Rattus norvegicus: one gene and its partners. The protein of the gene in region 1 interacts with the protein of each later gene in a biochemical or structural test. Links are inferred from orthologs where the notes say so. Each region holds a gene or a part of one and is shown in the gene's direction. Other genes may lie near its edges.

Region 1 (3,752 bases):
TCTGGAGCGGCTATGAATCGCTAATGAATGCTGCAGATACCTTAGTGCTGTAGTCAGGCAAGGTGCTCCGGTTTTGAAGAGCTTACACTGCCCACTTTGCTACTACAGGCAATGATCCTACTAACGTGTATGACCAACAGTCAATCCCTCCGCTCCAAGAAAGCCCTCGAGGTTTCTTTCACCATCCATCCTTTGATCTAAACCTTTAAAGATTTTCAGGTTGCCGAACACTCCCAACTCTCAAAGGCCAAACTAATCTCTACATTAGGCTGGTGTAAGTCCACCAAAATGTCCGCGGAAGCTCTCTCCAGGGCCAGCAGGAGACACTTCTCACATGGCCTTCACTGTCCTTTGAGATGGTTTATCTGAGGCACTCGAGAGCCATCCGGCTCTCCTGGCGTCAGAAGGGCGTGCGTCAGGGCAGGGAGGCTTGCAGCTCAGCACGATCCCCCCTCCCTGAGGTGTCAGCAACCACCCACTGCGTGAAACCGGGCGGGGGAGGCGCGCCGCAGTCAGCCGCCCAAAGAGCGCTGCGGCGGGGCCGTTTTCCCTTAGTCACCGCGGCGCCGACGCCGCGGCCTTCTCCTCAGGCACTCGGTGTCCTCACGCCCCGGTCGCCACGCCGGCAGGGGGCTCAACGGCCACCTCAACCCCAGGAGCAGCGGCCAGTCCCTAACTCTCGCCCTCCACTCTGGCAGCCGTCAACCGACCCTTCCCTACCCGCATCACGTGCACCTGGAAGTGCGTGGGTGGGTCCTACAGCGCCTACGGAAATGACGTAGTTCGCCCCGAGTCGCATGATGTGGCAAAATGTTAAAAAAAAAAAAAAGGTGGGGGGGAGGGGAGGAGGGAGAAACCGGAGCCTGGGGAAAGTGATGAGTCTAGAAAAAGTAGTCCCTCGGTTCCTCTGTTTCCCCGCTGCCGCATCAGCGAAGAGCGATCCGCGCACTGCGTCCCTGAATTCCTACGCCTGTCCGCTGCACGGGGTTCGTGGAAGGCTACATAAGGCGGACAGGGTGAGGAGGCTGGGCGGAGTTCTGCCCCGGGATCCTTCCGCAGGGCTCAGCCGTTTCCGGAGTCTGCGCTGCTCCCGGTTCCGCCATTGCGGCTCTCCCGGCCCTTGGAGCCTCCGCCCCCGACCCAAGCTCTCTCGTCTGCCTGCCAGTTCCCTACGTCCCCGGAGAGTATTCCTCTGAGCCCAACCTCCCCCTCCCTTCCCCTTCTCCTCCTCTCCCTTGGAGAGCCCGGGCAGGCACTGCCCTGCAGCCCCAGTGACAGGAGGAGACCATACTCCCCGACAGCGCCATGGCCCAGATTCTGCCAATTCGCTTTCAGGAGCATCTCCAGGTGCGTGTTAGTCGGGGCTGCTGAGGGACTTTTCGAGGGTATTGGGAAGGAAGCTAGCGGCCCGGCCCGAAGGGGATCGAGAGAACGGGAGTGGGGGGGTGTCGGTATTTGGCATTGATGGAGGAAGGACACTGTCTTAAAAGCTTAAAGGGTTAAACGATATGAGACTAGGATGGAAATGACGAATCGGAGTGCAAAGGGCGGCGAGGCCAGGCCTTACGTCTGACGGCCTCTTATTTCTGCTTCCTGGATTGCAAGAACTGCGCATACCAGACCCCCCTTCCCATTTTACTCAGTTCATTCATTTGGGTAGGGGCTAGGTGGGGGAGCTTCTCGCGCGTTTCTCCCAGAGCAAGAATTCTCGTTAACTCCGGGCGATGCAGGGCTGTCACCTTCCCTTGGTCTATTCCGATTTCCACATCGAGTCTGCACCCAGGAATTGTGTGGCGGGTGGGTTGGGGAGGAGCTGCATCTTCGCTCTGCAGCTCACAGCTGAGAAAGGCACCTTGGGGTTAGGGTAGCAGTGGCTTGTGTCTTGCCTTCCCTGAATCTGTAAAGAACCGAAGGTCACACTCACTGAAGGAACAGAAAGAAGATAGAGGGGCGGCTAGGGGCGGTGTCAGTCTCAGGGTGCCTGGGGTCAAGGTCCCAAGGGGAACGCGCATATTTTTCCTTTCTTGGTTTCTTCAAGGGTTAGTGTAGTTCTAAGACTCACTTTGATTCTTGTAGGTAGGGAGAGTTATTTAGAGGTTATTTATGGTCTTTTGGAATCTAGCAGGTAGTTGTGGGATTAAGGCAGGAGTATGTCTCACAGGACTGTGTGGAATTCAACAGAGCCTGGAGTGCTGTAAATGCATACCTGCTCTGAGACAGTACCTGACAAGTTGATCTATAACTGGCTTCTTTTTAATAGGCTGGGGTGCCCCCCTCCCCCCACTGCACCTTATCCTGGAGTCAATACACCATTGTCTAACCTGGCACCATGCCAGCAGTTGGCCTAGGCAGGTGACCATTGGAGGGCTTCGCTGAATTAAGCTTCTTCTGAACTGCTGCTTTTCCTGGTTCTCTTGTCCTGACTCTTTAACATCATAATTTATTCATAATAATTTACTTCCCCCCAAATATCCCCATAAAGAAATCTGCTTTCAGCTTCATCTTTTGAAGGGCTAATTTCATGAGGGAAGGTGTAACGATCCAGTTCAAATATTGGTAACTTATTGAGTGCTTTATCATTGAAGGCAATCTGATTTACTGTTCTCCGTTGATACACGTAAAAGATGTTTGATAATAAACAGGGTTAACTAAAATTCAGCTACAAGTAAAATAATTAAATATTTCTTTATAGACTTTTACCGTGTTGCTTACATTAAAAAATTATTTTACTTTAGGACTTTAAATGTAAATGATAATAGACCTTTGCCCATAAAATGAGCTAAATACACTTTCTTCAGTCATCACTAGTTTTCAAATAATTCACCTGATTTTGGCAATAAGATCTCTATTTTGCAAAAGTCTGAAAAATGTCAAGTGACAATCCTGACAGAGAAGTTAATTTTGTCCTCAATTCAAGCTTGTTTGAGTTTCCTCTGTTAAGAAAATAAAGAGTTAGGAAGGCACTGTTCTGGATGCTAGCGGACAGTGTGCTGACCTCTTCAAGCTGAGCTAAGAGGGAGGCAGCCTGTGTACATTAACGAAAAAAAAAAAACTAGCTTTAATTAATTGCTTGCTTTAATTAATTTGGCCATGAATTGGATTGCTGTTTTCTCTCCTCCCATCTTTGGAATTAACCCTTGTCCACACTGAAGTTTATCAGAAATAGCCTTCTGCAAATATGTATATAAACCATATTCAAGAGAAGCAAAGACAGCTGCTGATCACATGATCATTGTTGATTTGAGTAATAGTGTTTCATTTCTGTTAAACACGAGACCAGAATTGTTGAATGGTCTACAGACTGGAATCCAAACTTGTCACTAATTAAAAACAAATTTAATGCAGGTGTGGCATGTGAGTAACAATTTCTGCAAATACTTGAAACTGTTTTCCTAAATTTGGAGATTTTGAATATTTATAAAATAGCTTTACAAGTGTTCTTGAAGATCTCTGTCTGTTCTTTGGAGGACCATGTTACACTTTAAGCTTTGGCTGGTAGGATTCCACTCCAGTAGATGGTGATCAGTTTCGTCAAAAGGGCAAATCACCATCTTTTCCAAGATAATGTATTCTCCTGATCTCAGATTTTTCCCCCCTCGGAGCTGGGGACCGAACCCAGGGCCTTGCGCTTGCTAGGCAAGTGCTCTACCACTGAGCTAAATCTCCAACCCCCTGATCTCAGATTTTTATCCCTCTCTTAACACTTCAGTGTAAGGAGTGTTTCAGTTGTCATCTTAAGTCTTTGATTTCCA
Region 2 (3,652 bases), about 3.9 Mb from region 1:
AAAATACTTTATAATATTATTCTAGCCTTTGGAAATGGGCACAACATTCAAGACTAGGTTTTTCACTCTGAATTAAGTACACAATTTTCAGTTACTCATTTCCCATCATACGCTTTAAGATGTGTTGGTTCTTGCTATGGTTTTGTTTTTTGGGTTTTTTTTTTTTTTTTCATTCTGGAACTTGATATCTCTTGCATTTAGATGTGGTCCCAGGGCTTCCCGGGAGGTGTAGATGTCAGTGAAGTGAAGGAAGTGTACCTCGACCTGCTGAAGAAAGGGGTTCAATTCCCACCCTTGGATGGAGAGCCTGAGACAAAACAGGAGGTAGGAGGTTTTCTTAGCCCCATGTAAAATAATATACATTGTTTAGGTCCTTTTCATATTGAAAGGGATAACCTTTAATCAGTTTAGCAGAAAGATGAATTTATTAGTATATGGTTATATCTCATGGGATAATACCTGGGTTTAGGCTTTGCCAATCACAGTGCCGTTTGAGGCATAATCTGGTAGTTTGTTAACCATAGGGTGTTATACTATGCTAGAATCTTCCTTCTAAAAAGGTTCTGGTGTTTCTACGCACATTGACAATATATCGAAAAGCAGTGACCTAAAACAACATGGTCATGATTTGCAGCTGTGGCTATCCAGTTACAGTTGAGGACCAGATCTGATCGAGGAAGCAATTCACTGCTGGAGGAAATGCCTTGAGAGCTTGGTGGGAGAGTTAAAAAGACTGCATGAGTTGATTTGCCCTTTTCATTGTTTATTTGTTTATTTCCTTGTTTGTTTGGGGTTTTGTTTGTTTGTTTTGAGACAGATTCTTCTCTGTGTAGTCCTGGCTGTCCTGGGCCTTACTCTGTAGACCAGGCTGGCCCCGAGCTCACAGAGATCTGCCTGCCTCTGCCTCCCAAGTGCTGGGATTAAAGGTGCTTTAGCAACAGGGGAAAGGGAGAACTATAATCTCGAATGGCATGGCGGTTCATGATACAGTGCCTTGGTGAAAACCAAGAGGACTTTTTTGGATAGTCATTTCGTTAATAAGGCCTGTTACGTGACAGCCTACCATTTGCTTAGCGGTCTTCTCTAAATACTGGATATGCTGTGCTCCCAATGATCAACTTCGAGCTAAAACCAACTCCCCAGGACTTTTTAATGAATGCCTGAGTCAGCTGAATGGGAGCCAGGCTTGCGGTGGCTTTGATAATTCGTGTCATACTCTTTCTTTATTTTATATTGATAGGCTGGTCAGATCTCACCAAGTCGACCGACATCTGTCCCCACTGCGCCTGCTCTTTCTTCTATAATTGCTCCCAAGAACCCGACTATTTCCTTAGTCCCTGAACAGGTAACAGAGACAGCACTGTTTATTCACGTTTTCTAAGCATTGGATTTACAATTTGCATTTCCTTAATGGCGTTATGACGGGTTACTATAACGTAACCCGGCCCTCGGTTAATCAGCATCTTTATTTTGATTTCTGAGACAAGGTACCTTCTGAGTAGCTGTCTCTGGCCTCGAACTCACTACGTGCCCCAGACCGGCCCACAACTCTTGATAATGCCCCTGCTTCTGCCTTCCATACGTTGGGGTGGCAGGCATAGGCTGCGTGCTTATGTGTCCACTTCTTTTCCTGTGGGAGGAGAGACTGCCGCGTAGGGAGAAAGTGTCCTCGTGGTTTGTCTCTATGCAGAGTTAGCCTACGGAGTTTAATCTGAATTGAAGGCTCACACATTTAAAAATTGTGCTTGGGAGCGGAGAGACTGTTCAGCAGGTAAAGCTGCCTTCCATCAAGCCTGATGATCAAAGTCGAATGTGTGCCTAGAACCCACACGGTGGGGAGAGAACCAGACACCAAACACTATCCTGTGACTTCACACGCACGCACACACACACACACACACACACACACACACACAAATAAGTACAAATGTTTTTAAGAAAAGAATGTTGACCAGTAAACGCTGTGAACTAGGTCTGAGGGCCACCCACCGACTCCTGGCTTTTTGTCTGTTTGGATGGTGGGTTGGGTTTTGTTTGGTTGGTTCGTTGGTTGGTTTTTGTTTTGTTCTGTTTTCACTTCAGAGCGCCCAATGGCAAGTTGTCTTATTACCTATGTTAATTGTACCAAAGGAATTGCGTTTTCTCCTTAGTCTCCACTTATAAGAGATCTAGATAAATGTAATTAACAATGCTCATTAATATCTTTGCATTAAAAGGCTATCCTTGAAGTCTTTACGCTAATTGAGTTCTTTATATTAATATTAAGTATTTCTTACATTAAAAGCCATGTAATTTCTTCCTCCTAGAATTTAAACCATTTCAAAACGGTTCACTTTCATCTTTCTATAATACCGTGAATACTGTGATCATTCCACAACACTACCTCCTTCCTTTGCTTTTCTGATGCTTTGCCAGGAACTCAGGCTAGTATGTGAGACAATGTTTCTCATTTTCTCCGGGTTCCTATTAACTTCTGCTACTAGGTATTTTTGTTTTATTCATAGTGGTCCAGGTCATTTTGTTTCTGCATCTTTAACTCTCCCGAGGCATAGCCCTGGTTTCTTATAAGACATAACCAAGTCTATTCAGAAAACAACAGGGTACAATTTGTAAAATAATTATATGTTTGCCGAGATCAACGTCAGTAGGCTTGCAAACATTACATTTTTACAAAGGCATTTGGTATTCTAGCATTTGTCCTGTAGGCAGGAAGCAAGGTAGCCAGCTGTGGTCTTTGTGTGACGCTTAGTGACTGGAGGTTGCATTGCCCTTCACAGATCGGGAAACTGCACAGTGAACTGGACATGGTGAAAATGAACGTGAAAGTGATGACAGCCATATTGATGGAGAACACTCCTGGCTCCGAAAACCATGAAGACATAGAGCTCCTGAGGGTATGAGCCCAGGGACGGTCGGGCAAAGAGTTCTCTCAACAGTTACTCTCTGAAGAACTTTGAACTCTGTAGCTGGAAAACTTGTTAATAGAATCTAATATATATGATATATATATATATATATACATATACATATATAACCATTATGATATATATGGTATGCATACATATGTGTATATGATATATATCATATATATTACACAATATATATCAATGTCTATATTATATATAACATATAATGCCATATGTATGTTTTTCCAGAGCCTAAATTCTTTATATCTACTTTTTTTTTTTTTGGAGCTGTGGACCAAACCCAGGGCCTTGCGCTTGCTAGGCAAGCGCTCTACCACTGAGCTAAATCCCCAACCCTATATCTACTTTTTTTTCTCAAAATCTTGTCTTATGCACTCATAGTCATGCCACATACTGACATACATATTTTTTATCTGGGCATTTGTAATACTGTACTATGTTTCGAATTATGTATATAATATGTATATGTATACATGTAATATATAATATACACATTATGTTACACATCGTACACACACACACACACACACACACACACACACACACACACACCTCCCAGCTTCCTTTGATTTCTAAACTTAATGAAAATATACAGTAATCATCTTGTCAAAGATGCAGTAATGATCACAATCAAGCCCAGCCCTTCTATAAAGAATAATTTACTGTAATTTGTAGTCTTGGTCATATGCAATCCAGCCTCACGTTTGCAGTATGTAAAATCTCTT
Region 3 (3,652 bases), about 41 Mb from region 1:
GGCTGTGTCTCTCAGGAGCGATCTACATCCGGGCTGCAGTCTTTTCTTTACTCCAGACTCACACAGAGGTTCTCTGATGCACCAGCACCAAGTCGGAGCTGCTCAGAGCATTTATAGTTCTAAAGTGTGAAGATTTGGAGAATTAGAATTTTTTTTAATAAAATTACAGGATTCTTCCCATGCCTCACTCCATTCATTTGCATTCTTGGTACTAAAGGATGTGGTCCTTTCAGCTAACTGGGTCATGGGGCTCAGACCAGAGTTCTTTTAGGGAAACAGTGCTTAAGTGGTTAGTTAGTCAGTCAATTTCCTTCCCTCCTCCTCCTTTGGGTCCATGCGTCTGTCTGCCCTTCCTTCCTCTTTCACCTGTTACTGAGATGGTGATCTCATTGTGTTGTGCTGCACTGCATAGCTTTGGACTCTTGCTCTCAAATGATCACTGAGCTTCGCTCTGGTGTAGTTTACCGTCATGTCTTGCTAGCTTGCTCTGTGTGTGTGCTCACTCCTTCAGCCTTATTCCCCTCCCCTTCTCCCTTCTCTCTGCACCCCCAAACTCGCTTTCTTGCCTTTCTCTGTTGTTTGTTTGTTGGACGCACATCCACTTGTGCAGAGCCTGGGCTGCCCTAGAACTTGCACTCTCTGCCTCCATCTCCTGAACACAGGGGTTATAGGCATGGACCACAGCACATAGCCTTACTTTCTGTTTAAGATATTGTCATTGGCTTATATTTGTCTAAAAATGAAGAACCATTAAGATAAGAATAAAATAGTCATTGAACTCATTGGATGACTTTAGAAAACTGGAAAGATGTTCATTTGTCTTGTGTTTATAGAATGGCTTCTGTATCTACTCCTGTAGCAGTGTTCAAGGGCTTCAGATCTGTCCTGTCCATCAAGGCTGTGAAGTTACCTGAAGACAGGCTTTTGATTGGCATGGGCTGCACCATGTTGTGTTTGTGTGGCACTGTGGGAGATTCGTTTTCCCTTAAAAATAATTTTCTTAGGAGAAGGAAGGACACTGGAACCTTCCAGATTTAATATCCTCAGTTGTTTTTCTTCGTTGTTTACACAGATGAACGGTATGACCCTGAGCCCAAGTCCAAATGGGACGAAGAGTGGGATAAGAACAAGAGTGCGTTTCCATTCAGTGACAAGCTAGGGGAGCTGAGCGACAAGATCGGGAGCACAATCGACGACACCATCAGCAAGTTCCGGAGGAAAGACCGGGAGGACTCTCCGGAAAGGTGCAGGTACGCTGCCTCTCCACCGCCTCTCCACCACTTCTCCACCACCTCTCCACCGCCTCTCCACCGCCTCTCCACCACTTGCTTAAGGGCTTTGCTTTACGCAGCCGTTTGGTTTGGTTTGGTTTGGTTTAATTTTGATGTATTGCTGTTATCTAAAGCTTAGCCTTTTTTAAAAACACACTTTGTTAGAGAAATCTATATGACACAGAAAATTTGATCATAAAGTACAGAAGGCACTACATACCCTTTCTCTTTCTCATGGTTTCAAGATAATTGTGTTACATTTCTTTTTTCTTTTTTTTTCTTTTTCTTCTTCTTCTGCTTTTTCTTCTTTTTTCTTTTTTTCGGAGCTGGGGACCGAACCCAGGGCCTTGCGCTTGCTAGGCAAGCGCTCTACCACTGAGCTAAATCCCCAACCCCTGTGTTACATTTCTTAACTGAAAAACTAGTATTGATAAGCTGTAGTTACAGTGTACAGTTTAGGCTGGAGGTTACCATGTTGAACATGCAGTATTCTCCAGTAACAAATGTCGCCTCCCTGAAAATGCCCTCTATAAAAAGAAAAGTGGAGCCATTTATAAAGTTGCCAGTCACCTAGTTTTATGATACTAGGTCAGCCCTAAGTGCTAGTAATATTGACTCTTCCGAGCGGTCTGCACCTCCTGTCTGTCCCTAACCGTTCTTGTCCTCTACATTTTTCTTCAGGCATCTCAGTCTTGGCCTCGAGATTTTTACCCTCTCTAAAATTTATAATTGTCATCTTACATTTGGACATCAGACGGTTCCATGGTCTAAAATAAGGTGTGGGGGAAGGGGATAATGAAGCCTACGTTGGAGAGAAGGTTAAAGGCTAAAATTTAACTACCTGAGACTTAGTATTGCCGTCCTGTGCTCACGTGACCAGAGCAATCCTGCGCAGGGGTGCACCTGGAGTAGTGGTAGGCACCTGGAGTCGCACAGGCCTGTGTTTATAAGCTTCATCTTCTGATGTAGGACAGTTATAATAAGCTGACATCAAACAATAGAAGTAAAACCTGAGGCCCACTCAGTCTGCATGGACCTGTGGAAAATGAGTTTGTTGTTTGTTTGGGGTTTTTTGTGGTGCTGGTGCTGGTGCTGGTGCTGGTTTTTGTTTTTGTTTTTGTTTTTTTTTAACTAATTAGCATCTTTTTCCTACCCATACATTTATAATAGTTCAGATTACAGTTCATGGGAATGAAGTTCAAATAAAACTATAGCCAGATTTTAAAAAGGTTTCAAAATACCTGTGTTCAGTGTATTCAGTGTGGTTCCAGAGCCATTAAATCTCTAGAATGCCCTTTTTAAGACTTGTAAGGGCATAATCTTTGAAGGAACAGTAGTATCAGTAATAGGAACGTATCTGCTTTCTACCAGAGGCCTGCAGGTGTAACACTGCAGCCTGAGAGAGAGTGTCTAAGTACTCTCCTGTCTTCCCTTATTAATATTCTACACAGGCTCTTGTGTCCTATGTATAAGTTTTTGACCTGACTTGAAGTGGGGGATGAGGTGTAGGGTCTTAGTGATATAGCAGTGTGTGGTCCTACTCTATTTTACCTTCTTCTGATATCCTTAGGGGCTTCTTCTCCTCTTCCTTGAACTCTGCTTGCTTTTTTTTTTTTTTTTTTTTTTTTTTTGCCTTCCTTGTTTGCCTGGGTGATGCTGATGATGGCCAGTCTGAGGCAGGATGGGTAAGAGTTCTACCTCTTTGATCCGGAGAATTCAGATTAAAGATCCGGACTATATTCCAAATACCAGTTGGTGATGTGTGCATGTTGCATTTTCAAGTGTTGGTGAGAAAACAGCATGCTGTAGACAGAGTTACATGTGACTCAGGGCTTTGTGTGCAGCCTTCTTGCCAGCCTATAAGCTATGCTTTCTGACCCTTGATGTATCTAAGTCCCAAAGTGACTTGTATTAAGTTGAGATTGCTTTAGATTGGAGTCAGAGTTCATCAGTGATACTCATAGTTTAAGGGGAAAGTCAAGCATTTTACTTTAGGATATTCATAAATTAAACTGCCTATCCTACAACTAGGGAATATAAATAATGGAACATACTTCAGGTTCTTGTCCCTTGCTTGCGCGCTCTCTCTCTCTCTCTCTCTCTCTCTCTCTCTCTCTCTCACACACACACACACACACACACACACACACACACACATTGTCTTTTCTCTCCCACTCGCCTGCTCAATCCCAGACAAAAACTCAGTGACTTAACATTAGAGAATAGACTCCTTTCATTCCCAGCATGTGGAAATCCTGGATTCTTGCTTCCTAGAGGTTCGCTTTTATAGAGCTTTTGATTGGTTGACTTGAAATGTTAACATGAGTAAAATAATTGTTTCAGAAATATTTAAAATATAGTTAAGTTTCTACAGTTGACAG

What was found.
Region 2: the proteins of Cltc (region 1) and Tom1l1 form a complex in vitro, tested with the Homo sapiens proteins (2 studies listed by BioGRID and IntAct). The link is inferred for Rattus norvegicus from reciprocal best matches to the Homo sapiens genes CLTC and TOM1L1.
Region 3: the proteins of Cltc (region 1) and Clint1 form a complex in vitro, tested with the Homo sapiens proteins (2 studies listed by BioGRID). The link is inferred for Rattus norvegicus from reciprocal best matches to the Homo sapiens genes CLTC and CLINT1.

What each region holds. Positions count from the first base shown.
Region 1 is NC_086028.1:72,068,147-72,071,898, reverse strand, and holds the start of Cltc (clathrin heavy chain 1), read left to right. Parts: upstream 1-1,207; 5' UTR 1,208-1,305; coding exon 1,306-1,347; intron 1,348-3,752. UniProt on the Homo sapiens protein: Clathrin is the major protein of the polyhedral coat of coated pits and vesicles. Two different adapter protein complexes link the clathrin lattice either to the plasma membrane or to the trans-Golgi network.
Region 2 is NC_086028.1:75,988,259-75,991,910, reverse strand, and holds part of Tom1l1 (TOM1-like protein 1), read left to right. Parts: intron 1-201; coding exon 202-324; intron 325-1,240; coding exon 1,241-1,345; intron 1,346-2,777; coding exon 2,778-2,894; intron 2,895-3,652. UniProt on the Homo sapiens protein: Probable adapter protein involved in signaling pathways. Interacts with the SH2 and SH3 domains of various signaling proteins when it is phosphorylated. May promote FYN activation, possibly by disrupting intramolecular SH3-dependent interactions.
Region 3 is NC_086028.1:30,834,375-30,838,026, forward strand, and holds part of Clint1 (clathrin interactor 1), read left to right. Parts: intron 1-1,072; coding exon 1,073-1,250; intron 1,251-3,652. UniProt on the Homo sapiens protein: Binds to membranes enriched in phosphatidylinositol 4,5-bisphosphate (PtdIns(4,5)P2). May have a role in transport via clathrin-coated vesicles from the trans-Golgi network to endosomes. Stimulates clathrin assembly.